Linked DNA regions of Caenorhabditis elegans. The protein of the gene in region 1 interacts with the protein of each later gene in a pairwise test. Each region holds a gene or a part of one and is shown in the gene's direction. Other genes may lie near its edges.

Region 1 (10,644 bases):
AGTAAAAGAAGGTCAATAGCCAATTTTCAAGATCTGAATACCAATGATCTTGTTTTCAAATTTACATCATGTTATTCACTTCCAAGTACAAGTTTCTCATCTGAAAATCTGCAGATCGAGTACAAATTCAAAGATCTGACGGAATATACGACGTAAGCATTCAACAGATCGAGTTGTAATAGAAAGAGGATCAAGTTAGATGTTAGAGGTGACGGAAAGAAAAACATTTTTATCTTCTGCAGGCATTCGTCCTGGAAAAAGTCGTAAGAGGAAAACTTGTAAAGAAAAAGGAGGAACAATGGGTCCAAGAAAGACAAGATCTAATATTCTAGTGAGAGGCCAGAGGTGTCAATCTTTGGAATTGTTGATTTTCAATAATGTATTTTTCTGTAAGAAGAGAAAATGAAACTGCTTAATAATAATTAAACATAAATTGTGATGTCTGAGCATATCATATATTTAGTTAGTGTGAAAAGGTCAGTGCAGTTGTTTTGAAAACGTAAAAACTTTCACTTGAATTAAAAAATAATCAATCATTCGAAATTACTGCTCAAAAGAAATGGTTGAAGTTTTTACTTGCCATTTGAAGCGATTTTTTCGCACAACTTTTGTCTAATTTTGTAAATAGAATGAGCACAAAAATCATGAAAAATTGAAAAAAATGTTAGCACACCTAAACTTGTTGTACTTGTATTTTTGTCAGGAAAGGTTAGTCAGATGTGAAAAGTGAAATAAACACCATTCCCAACTTGAGATAATTGTGACTGTAACAAAAAATACGTGGTTCCGAGGCTGGAAATACCAAGCGAAAGCTGGTCTCATGGTTTTTATGGTTTTGAAAAATTCCAATTATTATATTTTCCTTTTACCATGTGGTCAGGTAATTTATTCTTTTAGAAATTCTTAACGTTTTCACAAGTTTACATCAAGCATCATGTCGATTGGAAAAAATGAACAATTGTTGTTCATATGCTTTTTCACAGTTGTTTAAAAGATTCAATAATGAGCTGATGCGAAAATATAATAAATTCGTAACATCAAACTTGATTTCAAGGTGTATATGTAAATATAAACTCAGAAAAGCAACAAATTCATATGTACATCGGATATGTTTGTGATAGAGGAGCTTGCTACACATCCGCTCGAAAACTTGGAATACCACGGTATGCAAAAACATTTCAACTGACATTTATTTTATGTTAAAATCTTTGGCCGATTAGAATCCAAAGAAGAAGCGAAAGGCTGTGTCGACACGAAAGGAAGCAACGGCGACAAAATATGTGGGGCGAAAAAAGGAAATGAAACAAATATGTGGTACAAAAAGTGATGTGAGCATGGAATGAGGACGCGTTTAACTTGTGCCCTTTCTTTCCAACATCTTCTTCCTCCCGACATACGATGAGCCATCGGGGAGGGCACATCGAAAAGTTCAGAATTGACAATGGGCAGTTAAAGTGTATAACGGCACAAGTTAATTGTATTACTTCTAGGTTGATCAAATTTAATTTGCATTGAAATTTTTTCAGACAACGGACTGCGTGGGTATTTCAAATTGAAAAACTGCTCGGTTTTGGAGAATGAAGATCAGATCTAGCAAGAGAAGAAAAATTCATTATTCGAATGTAATCCAAAAACCAAAAAACCATAAATATAATTTTCAACTTAAAAACTTCAAAACAACCAGTGTTTTTTCCGATTTTCAAAATAAAAAGTCTTCGGATTATAGCGTGACTCAAGCTTTTCTAGTGTGTCAAAAACTGAATAATATAGGTGTTGTCTTAATATGTAAAACCATATTGTCTGAGTTTCTAAGTTTAAAGGTGAACAAGTATTAGATTGATATTCTTGTGAACCAATACAAAGATATCTCCATTTAAACTTTTTTTTTGAGTACCAAGATATGCAAACTAAGTTTCTTTTAAAAAATTATTATAATTTTCACACAAATTATGTTTGTAGAAATTTAAAAAAAGCGCACTAATCACAAAGAAACAAAAACAACGTGTTGTTTTTTACTTGCAAAAAGCCTATGATTGAACACTATGTCAGAATATTGAAAGAGAAGAATTTGCTATCAGTTTTTACCTAGATACTACAACTTTTCAGAAAAATACTTCGAATTTTTCAATATTAATAAAAATGGGAACAAGCCGTCACTTCAACGCAACAAACACTTCTTCATATGAACTATGAAGATGGGAAAAACAAAAAACAAAACGAATAGCCTTTTTATATTGTATTTCTTTGTCTGGTTCAACATAAATAATATTTGTTATGAAATGTGGTTGTAAATGTGACAGTATTTGAATTACAACTAATATTAAGCGCAGTTTAAATATTATTCAATAATTAGATGAATCCCACCTGTTCACAATTACGTTTATCTCGGCTCGTAATGTACATTTACTGGAAAAATAGTTTTTCCTGTAATTCTTTAAAAAAAAACAAATTCCCTCTTTTCCAAATACCTTATTCATTTTAGTTTACTTGGTTGGAACGCATTACCAGTAAAAGCATAGCGTGTGAAAGGGTCATATAAATTTTTAGTTTCGAGGAATCACTTGCTAGAAAAACGATCTACACTCAGAAATCTCGACTATTGCGATTTTAAAAATATTGTGAGGGGTTTCAACCAAAATTGGTGTGGTGTGATGTTTCTTTGGATTAGTTTTGTTTTAATTTTGCACCCAAGAAATCAACATTTATTTTACTGTTTCCTCAAAACACCTTCTTCTAGTTTTTTGACCTCTTGATAATTTCACTTTGTAGTATTTACCTATTTACAAAGCAGTTATCACCTCAAGCCGAAGATATCGCAACCAGTTATACTATCTAGTTTTTCAAACATTTATCTCTTCACTCATCTACACTCCTATCTCCCCTCCCTGTGATCATCAAATTGGAGAAGTGGAATCCACTTGAAATGAGTTCAACAAGAGTTTTTTGTTAGTGCGTGGCGGCTCGCCAGAGCATTGAGCTCTTGCGGCTGCGGCATGATGCGAGAGAAAAAGAGCACGACTGTATTTCAGTTTTCGATGTTTGCACATTGTGCGACACCCCTTCCCTGTGAAAGTAGAGCAAAGAGTTTGGAAAGAGTTTGTGGAATCTGGAGGCATTGGGACTGTTAGAGTAGTCAAAAAGGGGAGGGAAAACAGTTGAGGACTTTTGGTTGGAAAGCAGAAACTGAATCATCAGTAGTTTGCACATTCTTTTCACCGAACTTTCAACTTTTTCACATTTTTCTTTTCGTCAATTTCGAAAACCTAAAACACAGTTTCTATCACCATGGATGTGAGACCATATGAAGGAGGACGTTTTGAGGTAACGACAAAAACCAAAAAAAAGTTTGAAAGCATGTATTTTGAATCCAGAATTAAAAATTTAAAAAATCAACACAACATGCTGAAATATTTATTTTCTTAAAAACAATGTTAAGTATAAACGGTACTTGTGTATTATGCCCCCGCCACTTTAGAAATTAATTTTTTTTTAACTTTTAAAATAAAAACGTGTGGAATTCTTTTGTATTTTTAGGCCTAGGAAAACACCATTTTAAGCCTAACGAAGAAAAAGGTATCACATTTAATTTGAACGGATAAATCAATGGAAAATTAATTAATTTCTAAAACGGCGGAGGTATTATACACAAGTAGCGTATAAACATTTTATATTTTTGCCATTCGCTTCAACTAGAATCCAGTGTAATCTTAGTATTGCGAATGGTCAAGCAAAGCAACAACTTCCAAGACTCATGATGGTGAATTTCTCCATAAATTCAACCACTTTGGGTAGATCGAAAAAGCATCAAGAGAGGAAAGTTCTATTTGAGACATACATATGGGCCTTGAAAAAGCTTTGAGTGAAATTTTTAAGCAACACTTTCGACTCCATCAGAATTTTATAAAATTATACACTTTGCAACGATAGTAAAAAATCTAACTTTTAGAAAATTGGAAGTGAAGAAGCTCATACGATTGAAACTTTCGAAAGACGTATTCATGGAACTCCACACAGTGAGGTTAGTGTTTTGTATTTTGTGTTCAAAAACATGAATCAAGGGATTAATTGCATTTGTGCACCAAAATACTCAATTCATTCTTTTTCATAATCGACTCCCAGACAGAAATCTGCTTTGTGATCTCATTATGACGAATCAGACTGAAAAAAACAATTTATCAGCAATTGGAAGTGGATTTTGCCGGAGAAAAATTATTATTTTTCCAAAAATTTTAACATTTTCCAGCCACAACGACAAGTCTCGTCGAAACAGTACACCGAACGAAGAACCTACGGTCGAGATGAAAACGGTGAAATTGTCGTGAAAATCGAGAAAAATGTAAGTAGGGTTTTAGACGGAACATGTGAAATAAAAACAAGAAAAGGAGGGAAGAAGAGTAGCATTGTGGCAAAAACTAGCGTTATTCAGCAGGTGAACGTTTATTTCTTGGTCTTGTTTTCATAATTGTGTTGAATGGCATGTTAGTTGGGACGTTTTGTCAAACTTGATTTAATTTGCATTTAAATTTTAGTTGTGAATTTTATAGCTACTTTGTTCTAAGGATATTTTTAAATGTGAAAGCCCAAATTATTAACAGAATATTTTACCGATGTAGTTGTCTTCTCAATATAGATCTGTTATCAGTTTACCACTTTTTCTCATTTATTTGCATTAACTATTATCGTACTTTTCAAGCTAGTTGAAACTAGTTCTACTTTTAAAAATAGAGCTGCAGAACCAATTTACATTCCTTTCAATGTTTGTATAAGCAAAGACAAAAAGACAAGAAAATGAAAACGAAAAAAAAACGTGTTGGTTTTGTTTACAATGGGATTATGAAAATGAAATAAGCAAATGGTGTCCCATTTTTGGGTATAATCTCAAATTTGAATAATAAACGAATATAAAAAATGAGCAATTGAAGCCGGTTATTTATTTTGAAAAATTGGAGGAACATAGATGAAGAGTCAAAATGCGTAATTTGAAAATAACGATGCCTCATTTTTAAATTATCTATTTTGCAGTCACCACAATCTCACTAATCAGTCTTGAACACCGTATTGCTCTTATTTTCCAAAAATTTTGTGTGCATAGAAAATTTTGAAAAAAATCTTAATTTAATCTTGTACATAATTACTAACTTTTGTTTTAAAAACTAATCGAGAGAGGAATCACCAAAATGGGGGAATATGGTACTTTACTTCGCTTAAATATTGGATTGTATTTTCTTCAAACTGAGAAGTAACATTTTTGAGCCATACTTTTGATTGTCAGTGACATCACAAGTGTTTCAAATTCAGACCCGACTAGTTATAGGTATAGAAATGAACACAACTTGAACTTCACTAGAATTAATTTTATAATAGAAGTGATATAGAAGGCACGTGGTTTTCTTTAGCAGAATGGGATGTGCGTAATTAACGCATCCAGTTTTTATAATTTCAGTTTCACACAAAAAGCCCACAACAAATGTGCAAACGGTGTGAGCTTAACGTAAACAACGTTCTCATATTTTTTTTTTCTTTCTAATCCGGAAGTCGTAAATGAAACGATTAAAAAAATGTATTCAACTTTGTACAAGAACATGTAATAATATTAAACAAAACTATTTTCAGAAGTCTGTTGTTTAAAAACGTCACAAATTAGATAGTTCACCTAACAATAAGCGAAACTCATATAAATAAAAAGTCTCTAGGATTATAAAAAATACGTTGGTCATCCATGTTCTTATTTTATAATTGACAATTTATTTTTAAAAATGCACTTTGTTTAAAAAAAGAGTTATTTTTAAGCAAATGACGCCGAAGTATAAGTTCGACAAAAAACAAAACAACCTTCTGAACATGATAACATTCAGCTGAAATAACGCATTATTTGACAAGTATGTGTGCTTGACATATCCACATTGTGGAAAAAATAACAAAAATCGTTGAAATCGAAATGGGGCAAAATCTTGTATTACGATTTGATAATCGTTAACAGACGTTTTTGAACAAAAACTAAAATTGTAAATGACTCAGACTTTTTTCAGCCGTCTGAGCCAGTCCGTCCAGCATCACCAGTCCGACCTGTCACTCCAGTTGGTGGAGAAAATGAGTTGAGCCGGCACTTGCTCCAAGTAAGCTTCCTATATTAGTATACTACTTTAATTAGAAGGCGATTCAGTAGTTATAAGCGCGTGTGTAAACAATAAAAAGAATTTCTGTGACACAGCAATACACAAGCGTAGTTGCAAAATTTTTGAAAATCTGATATTAATTACAACGATGTTTGAAGCCTATCCAACCTCTCCATATCCCACGCATCGACATTCAGCCTGCCAATTCTTCACGACACGCATCGCCAAGACATAAATTGCAGTATGGTAAGAAAATTTAAACGTGCTTCACAAAACGGAACAGGAATGGGCAAAAATATATAAATTGATGCTGAAAGGGCAGTGAGACAAGGGCAGGGAAGACTGCATGACTGATGGAAATTGAAAATAGAATGAAATTGGGTTAGCTATCTAAAACATTTAATAAGTGACATGGTGTCATGTAATTGTTAGAGCATTAAAAAGAGAATTGAACGCGTGAATCGTTTTAGTTCCAGTCGACTGAATGCCAAACAGCTGAAGGTTACTTTTCTCGCTAGATCTTTTTCATTTTCAGAAAAGCGTGTTCACTGAACTGTTAGAGAACTAAGTCACTGAATTGGTGTCGAGAATGACAATAAATGAGTGTTTCTTAGAATTCACAACTTGCAGTAAAATTGCATTTTTTTGAACACACTCTTAATAATGACAAAGTAACATCTCGAGAGGTTTAAAAGACATCTAAAAAAGGACTGAATTGATTTGTGGCTTAAAAAACTGATAATGGTACGGAATGAATGAGTACATAGAATGATTTATTTTAAATCTATGGTTTAAATTAATTCTAGCAAAAAAGAAACTTTTTTACCAAAAATTGTTTAAAGCATTCCTAAGGTGAGAACTCAAAGTACACATCTAAATTCACAAAAACATTAAGTTTTTTGTTCCACACTTTCGTAAAGTTAACACTAAGAGAAAAGTATGAATTTTCTCTGTTAGGTGTATGGTAAGATTTAAATTAAAAAGTATCATTCCAAAATTTTGGTACAAGTGTCACAAAAAATATTAATTTTCAGATGAGGTTTCACCAAGATCAGGTTCTATCAACATGCTATCGCCAAGATCTGGACACTCGGCATCTTCAAGATCTGGAGCTGGATCTAGACAGAGTAATGTGTCCGTAAATTCGGCAAATGTGCCATTGAAAAAGGTTTGTTATGAGAAATATAACTTAATAAACAAAGGAAATTTATACGACAAAGATAATTGAAATAGAAGTTAAATCAAATCTTTGATTGAATTTGGTAACAAGGTTTCTAAAATAAGTGAAAATGAATTTAAAAGTACCGTTGGGGGTTGGTAGTTATAGTTAATCTTCGGCAAACGGTTTGAAATTGATTTTGCCGACTGGTTAATATGGAAGATGCTTACAGTGTTATTGAAGTTACCGTATTTGTGAATTGCATGTGTGGTTGAAAAAGTAATAATGACAGTACAACAATTTTAGAATGCATAAATAATTTTCGAGTGTCCTATAGCTTGATCGCAATAATCGATATTGAACGAAAATTTGACTAATGCCGTCTCAAGCCATTTTTATCCTTAGCAAAAATTAAGTGCAATACTCTTACCCGAATTACCGTATACGTGTTTCTCAAGCTATCAACATTTATTTTTCGTTGCAAATATTTATACGAAACAACATAAATTTGAATTCAAATAAAATGTAGAAGAAAAATAAATTTTGCTACAAAAGATCAACCCTATTTGATCATGCACCAACTGAATCAAAATACCATTAAACCAAATGAACTCGTGACTATTGCAATGACAAAATGCTCCAAACTAATTTCAATTTCATATTATCCACGTACTTCCGTTTCAACAAACCGCTTTATTGTGTCATCCTGCAAATGGTGACAACAAATTGCGAGCAATCTACGCACATGTGTTATAGGGAAAGTGTAAAACATGAAGCGTAGAGAAGACATTTATCTGATTTTGGTATGACAAAAAAATAATAATATCATTTCAAATTTACAATTAAGTTGCTTCAGAGTTTGTTTTTTAAAAGGTCAACTATTTTGAAGTTCTATGTTTCAGGTCACCAAGAAGTCCCGATTTGTTTCCATTCACGATGGTCGTCCCGTATCCCCATACACAGAAACAGTGTCTTTTGAAGTTGCCATTCCATTTCAACCAGATAGATATTCCAGGTGAACTATGAACAATTATATTTGAAACAAAAAACAAAAAATTGTATGTTTTCAGCGCTTCGGCCCGTTCATTCTCCAGCTCACCACACGTTTCCCGCAGGCCAAGCGAATGCGCATACTTGATGGAAAACCCGCTCTACCAAGATTGAATTTAATTAAATGTGAATTGATCACGCGTCATCATCCATTATCATTCTTTTTCTCCTTTTCCCCAATATCATTATTCCCGCTGTCTATCAATATCTGTCAATATCTACTGCCAAAAGATGCCCTTAACAATAACAACCAAACATTCAATAATCTGTTGCTTTTTTTCTGTATAGTAAATCTTGTCTTTGAAATTTTGTGAAGATACAAAATTTGTGAAAATAAAGATAATACAATTTTGAATGTTTTTTGTTGCATTGTAAGAACATTATCTTTAATAAAGCCTTCAATGTTTCTTTTAGTTTGAAATATCTACCGGATTAGCGCCGAAATGCGAAGATATCTTTTGGAGTTTTTGTTTTTCAAAGTTTTTGGTTAAACTTAAACTTTTTCATTACTTAAAAAATGTCAAAAAAGAATATTTCAGGTAAATCCGGGTAGCAAAAATTGCATTTCTGATTAAAAAAACGTCATAAAAATATTTACTTCAATATTTGAACAGGTGAAATTTTCACTTTCTTATTTTCCCTTCAACTTCTTTCATTATTCAGTATTTTTGATGACTGATACTTTTCCTTACGCAAAAAACAGAAGTATATACCAAAAAATTTCTGAGCTCGCCTAAAAGTTTGAAAATAAATGTAAGTCAGAATGTGAGTTCTTACCTTTCTTGTGCTCTGTGTTTTTTTTTTTTCATTTAAAAACAATCTTCAATTTTCCTAGTTTTCCCTCAATATTTTCGCGTGCGTATTGTTCCACTGTGTTATACTCGTATTACTAATTTTTACGTTTTCAAGTTCTGAGGTCAGTTTAATCATTATATCCCAATATGTAACGAAATATTTGGTGATATGAATAATGGGCTATCACATGATAGGGAGCATTTATGAGTCCCTAAACCATATAATTACAAGACTTTCGCCAGCTCTCTCCTTTGTCAAATATTGAGTAAAACCTTGAAGCAGCTTTTATTCCTAATACTGAGATTTATTGATTCTGTAATTTTTTGTTTAAAATGAATACTATTCGAGGAGAAGTCGACAAAAGAATAATGGTAATCAAAACAGTTACTTTTTTGATGGTTTCGAACTTTAGTTCCACAAAATATTGTAGTTTAAAATAAATTCCACGAATATGTCTGGTCTGAAAACAGGAATCATATTTATATTCAATCAATCACTTTTTTCTGAATTTTAAAAATAAACGATTTTATTGACAGAGTGTTTTATATTCATGACTTTCAAACTTTTACAAATATAATCATCGATTTCCTTCTCGAAAATGCAATTTTTCCAAAAATACTATTTCGAAAAACTCTGAACCCAATTATAAGATATGTGATGAATAATTCCCCAAAGTGTTGTGCGCAAAAAGAAAAGAAAAGGATTGATTTCACAGCAACTCTTCTCCTCTCTTCTACTTCCCCCATTTTGCCTATGCTGTTTCTTTAATCGCACCCCACCAAGCCAGCGGAGCAAACACGAGATGGACCCGGTTTTCGCGGAGTAGTACATCGAGAAAGAAGAATAAGGGACCCCTTTTGCGTCGCGACTAACTGCGCGCAAAACGTCTTCCCCTGCTGCGAATCAATGCGCGTAAGGACGACAAGGGTCCGCAATGTGTCGTCGCGGTGTACGCACACATTCCGCTCGCTCTCTTTCTTTTGTGGTGTCCTCTGAGAGAGGGCCGACGGCGTATCGGATTTTGGTTAGCGTGCCCTTGCCCGAAAAAGAATGCGTCTTTCTTTTCGCCTCTTACTTTTTCCCCAATAATCGCTTCCTTTCCTCTGACTTTTTTTTGTTTTCCAATTTTTGTAATAGCATACTGACCTATATGTTCTGGTAATAGTTGTTTAATGTGAAAAGTTGTTTTGCACAACATTATAATTTGGAATATTATTTCTCTCAAAAAACACTTTATTAATAGTCACAAAGTATTTGTCGGTCGGTACTTGCACTCAAAACAATCCGTGATTTGCATTTTATTTCACTGTTGTCAGTACATTGTCACTCACATAAATGTTGTTAAATTTTTCTCTCTGAAACATATTATTTCGAAAATGCAAGGCTATACTATATTTGAAATTCAGCGAAACTTTGGAAGCATTGGATCATCTTCAGTATGTAATTTTTGCAATAATATAAAAAATCAATAATTTGACAAGTCCTTCATCTTCTGCGCCTCTCATCTCTCGATTATCTGTCGTA
Region 2 (4,227 bases), on another chromosome or scaffold:
ATTCATTCAAAAAAAAAAGTGTGCTCACTTGTTAATCAACTGATAGTATCAAATCACAATTGACAAAAAACTCGAATTTCAATATAGATAACCAGTTTGGGTCGTAAACAAAAAAGTGATCAATTGCCCCATACTGGGTCCATAATCACATTAGTACTCACTTGACCGGATGTCTCCATTTAAGGAACGCGTATATCACTGGATACAATACAAACTTGCATAGTGGAGCTGAAAGAAACAGCAAAAACAGGAATATCAACATTTGTTCTGTAAATACGTAGAATTTTATGTCAATAGCAATACATGTAAGAACATCAATAACTGAAGAGATAGATCTTGATAGTATTTTAGTAATCAGAGATAGCTTCAAGTGTACTTGTCTTGAAACGGTTTATAAAATAGTTTTAAAATGTATATATTTGCCAACTGATTTTCATGTGACACTTAGAATATCTATGTAGTTTGATAAAAGACTCTTGATTAAATCATTAAATAAATACAAAAGTACGTGCAGATTTGATAGTGATTGTGCTAATAAATTAGTGTTGTTGTATTGAAGGTCAAATATTTGTTGTTGGAAAATGGAAAAGATCAATAGCTTCTAGCAACTTATATGTCAAACTCGGCAAACAAAGATTAATTGAGAAATTTTAGTGAATTTTTAAGGCTCAATAATCGGGCATATTGTTTCTATAAAAAATCATCGCTAGACATTCATCTATATCACATCATAGATGAGTATATCATAGCAGAGCTGTCGGTTTTTTGCTTTTTTGGTTTTTTCGTAAAAATGGATTTTTGATTTTTTTTTCAGACCAAATTAACAGAAAAATTGTTTTTCAAAGATGTTATGTTTTAGTTGGATTGATGAAAAATCGAAAAAAATAGAGTGTTTTTTTTTTGGTTTTCTGGAGAAATTCGATTTTTTGTTGTTTTTCACAGCCCTCACAAGGTATATCATCACAAGCCTATCATCACGGCCATATACTCTAATAGTATGACATGCAAGTCGAATTCCAGAGAAGTTAGTACTAAATAATAGAGAATACAATAGAGATGTCACACAATGAATAATCTATGGCAAGGGCTCGAAGAAGAATTCGGCAAAAAAATTGAATAGTTTGAGTACAAACCATGTTTTCCAAAAACGACCAGTCATTGCAGAGAAGTTAACTAGAAAGAATGTGAATTTCTATGTTTATACTTCTAGCATTGGTAAGTTCAAAAAATAAGAAACTGGAAAAGTTGAGTGCTGAAGAATCTTATGGCACATATAAACTGTGGCTGATAACGAAATGATTTGGTTGAACGTATAAGTAGTTATCAGGAAATAATCAATAACTAAGTTTATGACGATGATGATTTTTTCGATAACTGAATTGACGGCGCAAATAAAACCAGCCGACGTATTTAATTTCCATCTGGGTGGTCTTCTAATTCGAATATTGGATATGTTCTTTGCAATGTTGTGAATGTTTATGGGAAGACATTTTTTACAAGAAAAATCTTTTTGTGATAATGATAATGATTACAAATACACTAAAATGGGCTCTTTCTTCCTATGCAAAAAGAAGACGTTCGGACGGTGGTGAATCAGAAATTTAGTCATGGGCATCGTCGTGACCGTGATGTCCGTGATTACGGTACTTGTACTTGAGTCGCTGCTCTTCTGGAACGGCAAAATCGTAGACAACAGTTCCGGCTTTGATGATTCCGAAAAGAAGAGCCAATCGCCACACAATTTTCAAATATTGACCATATGGAGATTGACGGAAGAAGTCGGGGTCTTTGTTCTGAAATAAAACAATACAAATCGCATTGCGTTTTATTTTATGCTGTCACTTTTTAAAAATTGAACGTTTTCTTGTTTAAAATTTTTTTAATTACTTATGCATGAGAAAATTGATTTTTTTTGTAGTACTTATGCCATTTCATAACAAAATATATGATTTTGTGAAGAACTTTGAAATTTTTTTAAAAACATTATGGCGGCTTCAAAAGCCAAGTTTTTAGCCTCGCCGGACAGTCCCGACACTATAAATCTATAGCTGTGGAAGCTTTATGATCAAAAAATTAAAAATTCAGTAAACTAAGTACTAAGGTTATCTTATTTTGAAAGCATTGCAATTAATTCTCAAAACAAAAACATATTTTCGAACTATTTTCGAACCGACTGTACTTTCGGGAACATAATTAATTCTTTAAAAAACTCACAATTGCACGATAAGCAGCTGTCGTCTCCTGCTTGGCTTCACCAAACAAAAACATTTTTGGCATGTTGTTCACATTATCCCATTTTCCCTCACTTCCGAGTCTGTTGATTTCTTTCCAGACGGCGTGGGAGTCACTGCAATAATTTGAAAATTTATGATTCAAAAATTCACCAATTTAGGAAACTGTTTTGTATTCGAGGGATAGATATTACAAGCATTGAAAAATCAATTTTGTTCTTTAAGAGATCAACAATTTAATGCATTTTTTAATGCTTTTAAAGGGAGCAAACGCATATTTTTGGATAGATGATTAAATATTTAGTATTTCGGAACAGATTAAATAAGAAAGTGAGCATTTGTTATATTTGTTAAGAATAATCACTTAGTAAACTAATTGCATTACGAATACGAAAAAGCTATTGTTTAAAATAAAATTCCTGGTAAGAACACAGATATTTTCTGAAATATCGAAAATTCCATTGATATCGTTTTTTAACATGATTTCTTGACATCAGATTATTTAGCCTTTAACACTAAAAAAAACTTACTGAGAGTGAGACGATGCTTGTCGAACTGCAATACGTGCAACCTGGCGGCCGGCGTGAGATAAGCCTGACATGGCGAAATCACCTGAAAATAATTTTTAGAATTTGTGTTGAGAAAATGAAAATTTGATAGGAATTGTTCGATTTTCACAATTTATGCAAAAAACCTCAAACAGTATGGAAATTGTTAAATTATAGAAGAAAGAAAAAATAAAAATAAAAATTGCCCGAACACCAAAAGCGCGCCAGTGGACGTCGCTGACGCACTATTCGACGTACTGGCGCACTTCTTGCTAATATTTTTTTTGCGTTGACGTTGCAGATTTACTCCGTTTTTTCCCTTTCAAAAATATTCTCAATTTTTTGAAAATGAGTCACACAATTCTTCTGCTCCAACCGACAGACAACATCGAGTCACGTTCATGGTCGGATTATGAGAATACCACGGAATGTCTTGAAGGTGAGTAACAAAAACCAAATTACATTTTAAAATTAAAAGTTTATAATCAATTAAAAACTTTTAACTTATAGGAATCTGCAGAGTCTACGAAGAATATTTGAAAAAGAAGGTTCCGGCTCAAAACGAAATCACCTATGACATATCGCACCTTTTCGAGTTCATCGACGACCTCAAAGATCTTTCAATGCTGGTTCTCGACAATGTTGGTTTTTAAAACATATTTTAAATATCGGAAAAAAAATTGCAGACAACATACACATATGTCCCCCACAATAAGCAATATGTAAAGGAGAGCATCTACAAATTAATGAACAACAGGCTCAATAATCAGCACTGATTACCATCCATATGGGTTTCTCACTTCTATCTCTTTCCAACGTTCTCTTTTCTCACTTTTTACGGATTCAGTCCTAAGTTTTAAACTCTTTTCCAAAAAATGTGAAAACGAAATTTCATATCCAGTTATACAATTCATCCGCAACCACATGAATAAATATTTTTAAATGGTGTTATTTCTCTACGTTTATAATTACAGCAGTTGTTTTCTGTGTATTATTTATTTCATTTGGAATTAGTGATTTTCGAAATTTACAAAAATCTTCAAATTGTTCAGAATGATGGTGTCTCCTCCGCAAGAGGATACAGTGTTCAATACCGATTCAGATCCAGTTTATGAACGTAAGTATTAAACTATGGAAGGACTCGAGAGTTGGTAAGAATATTCAGATCATGCCGCTCTCGTTTCCTCCCCATTTCACGCTGATGAAGATCATACATTCGATATTTCATTTGCTGCAGAAGCAACGGACGACATGACATTCAATGATACGACTACAGATGGAAATGGACAAGAATCTGTTCCATTGGAGGCATTGACAGTAGTTGAAATAGAAAAAACATCTAAAGGTATAAATTGTATTTTTAAACGTCTATATAGTACTCATTTTACAGGTTTCGGATTCAATATAGTTGGTGGAACAGACAATCCTCACTTTGTTGGAGATATCGG

What was found. The genes of interacting proteins can lie anywhere in the genome.
Region 2: the proteins of T20B5.2 (region 1) and erh-1 interact in a two-hybrid assay, tested with the Caenorhabditis elegans proteins (one large-scale study listed by BioGRID).

The regions. Positions count from the first base shown.
Region 1 is NC_003284.9:9,327,955-9,338,598, forward strand, and holds T20B5.2 (uncharacterized protein), read left to right. Parts: upstream 1-3,178; 5' UTR 3,179-3,285; coding exon 3,286-3,321; intron 3,322-3,946; coding exon 3,947-4,018; intron 4,019-4,243; coding exon 4,244-4,336; intron 4,337-6,029; coding exon 6,030-6,116; intron 6,117-6,274; coding exon 6,275-6,362; intron 6,363-7,150; coding exon 7,151-7,284; intron 7,285-8,177; coding exon 8,178-8,290; intron 8,291-8,345; coding exon 8,346-8,439; 3' UTR 8,440-8,678; downstream 8,679-10,644.
Region 2 is NC_003283.11:10,577,927-10,582,153, reverse strand, and holds erh-1 (Enhancer of rudimentary homolog), read left to right. Parts: upstream 1-3,012; 5' UTR 3,013-3,127; coding exon 3,128-3,218; intron 3,219-3,289; coding exon 3,290-3,420; intron 3,421-3,465; coding exon 3,466-3,555; 3' UTR 3,556-3,727; downstream 3,728-4,227. Other genes in the region: T21C9.6 (Phosphoenolpyruvate synthase), read right to left, coding at 162-262; lpd-9 (LiPid Depleted), read right to left, coding at 1,602-1,793, 2,215-2,347, 2,762-2,832; mics-1 (PDZ domain-containing protein), read left to right, coding at 3,833-3,896, 3,945-4,124, 4,170-4,227. UniProt on the Caenorhabditis elegans protein: May have a role in the cell cycle.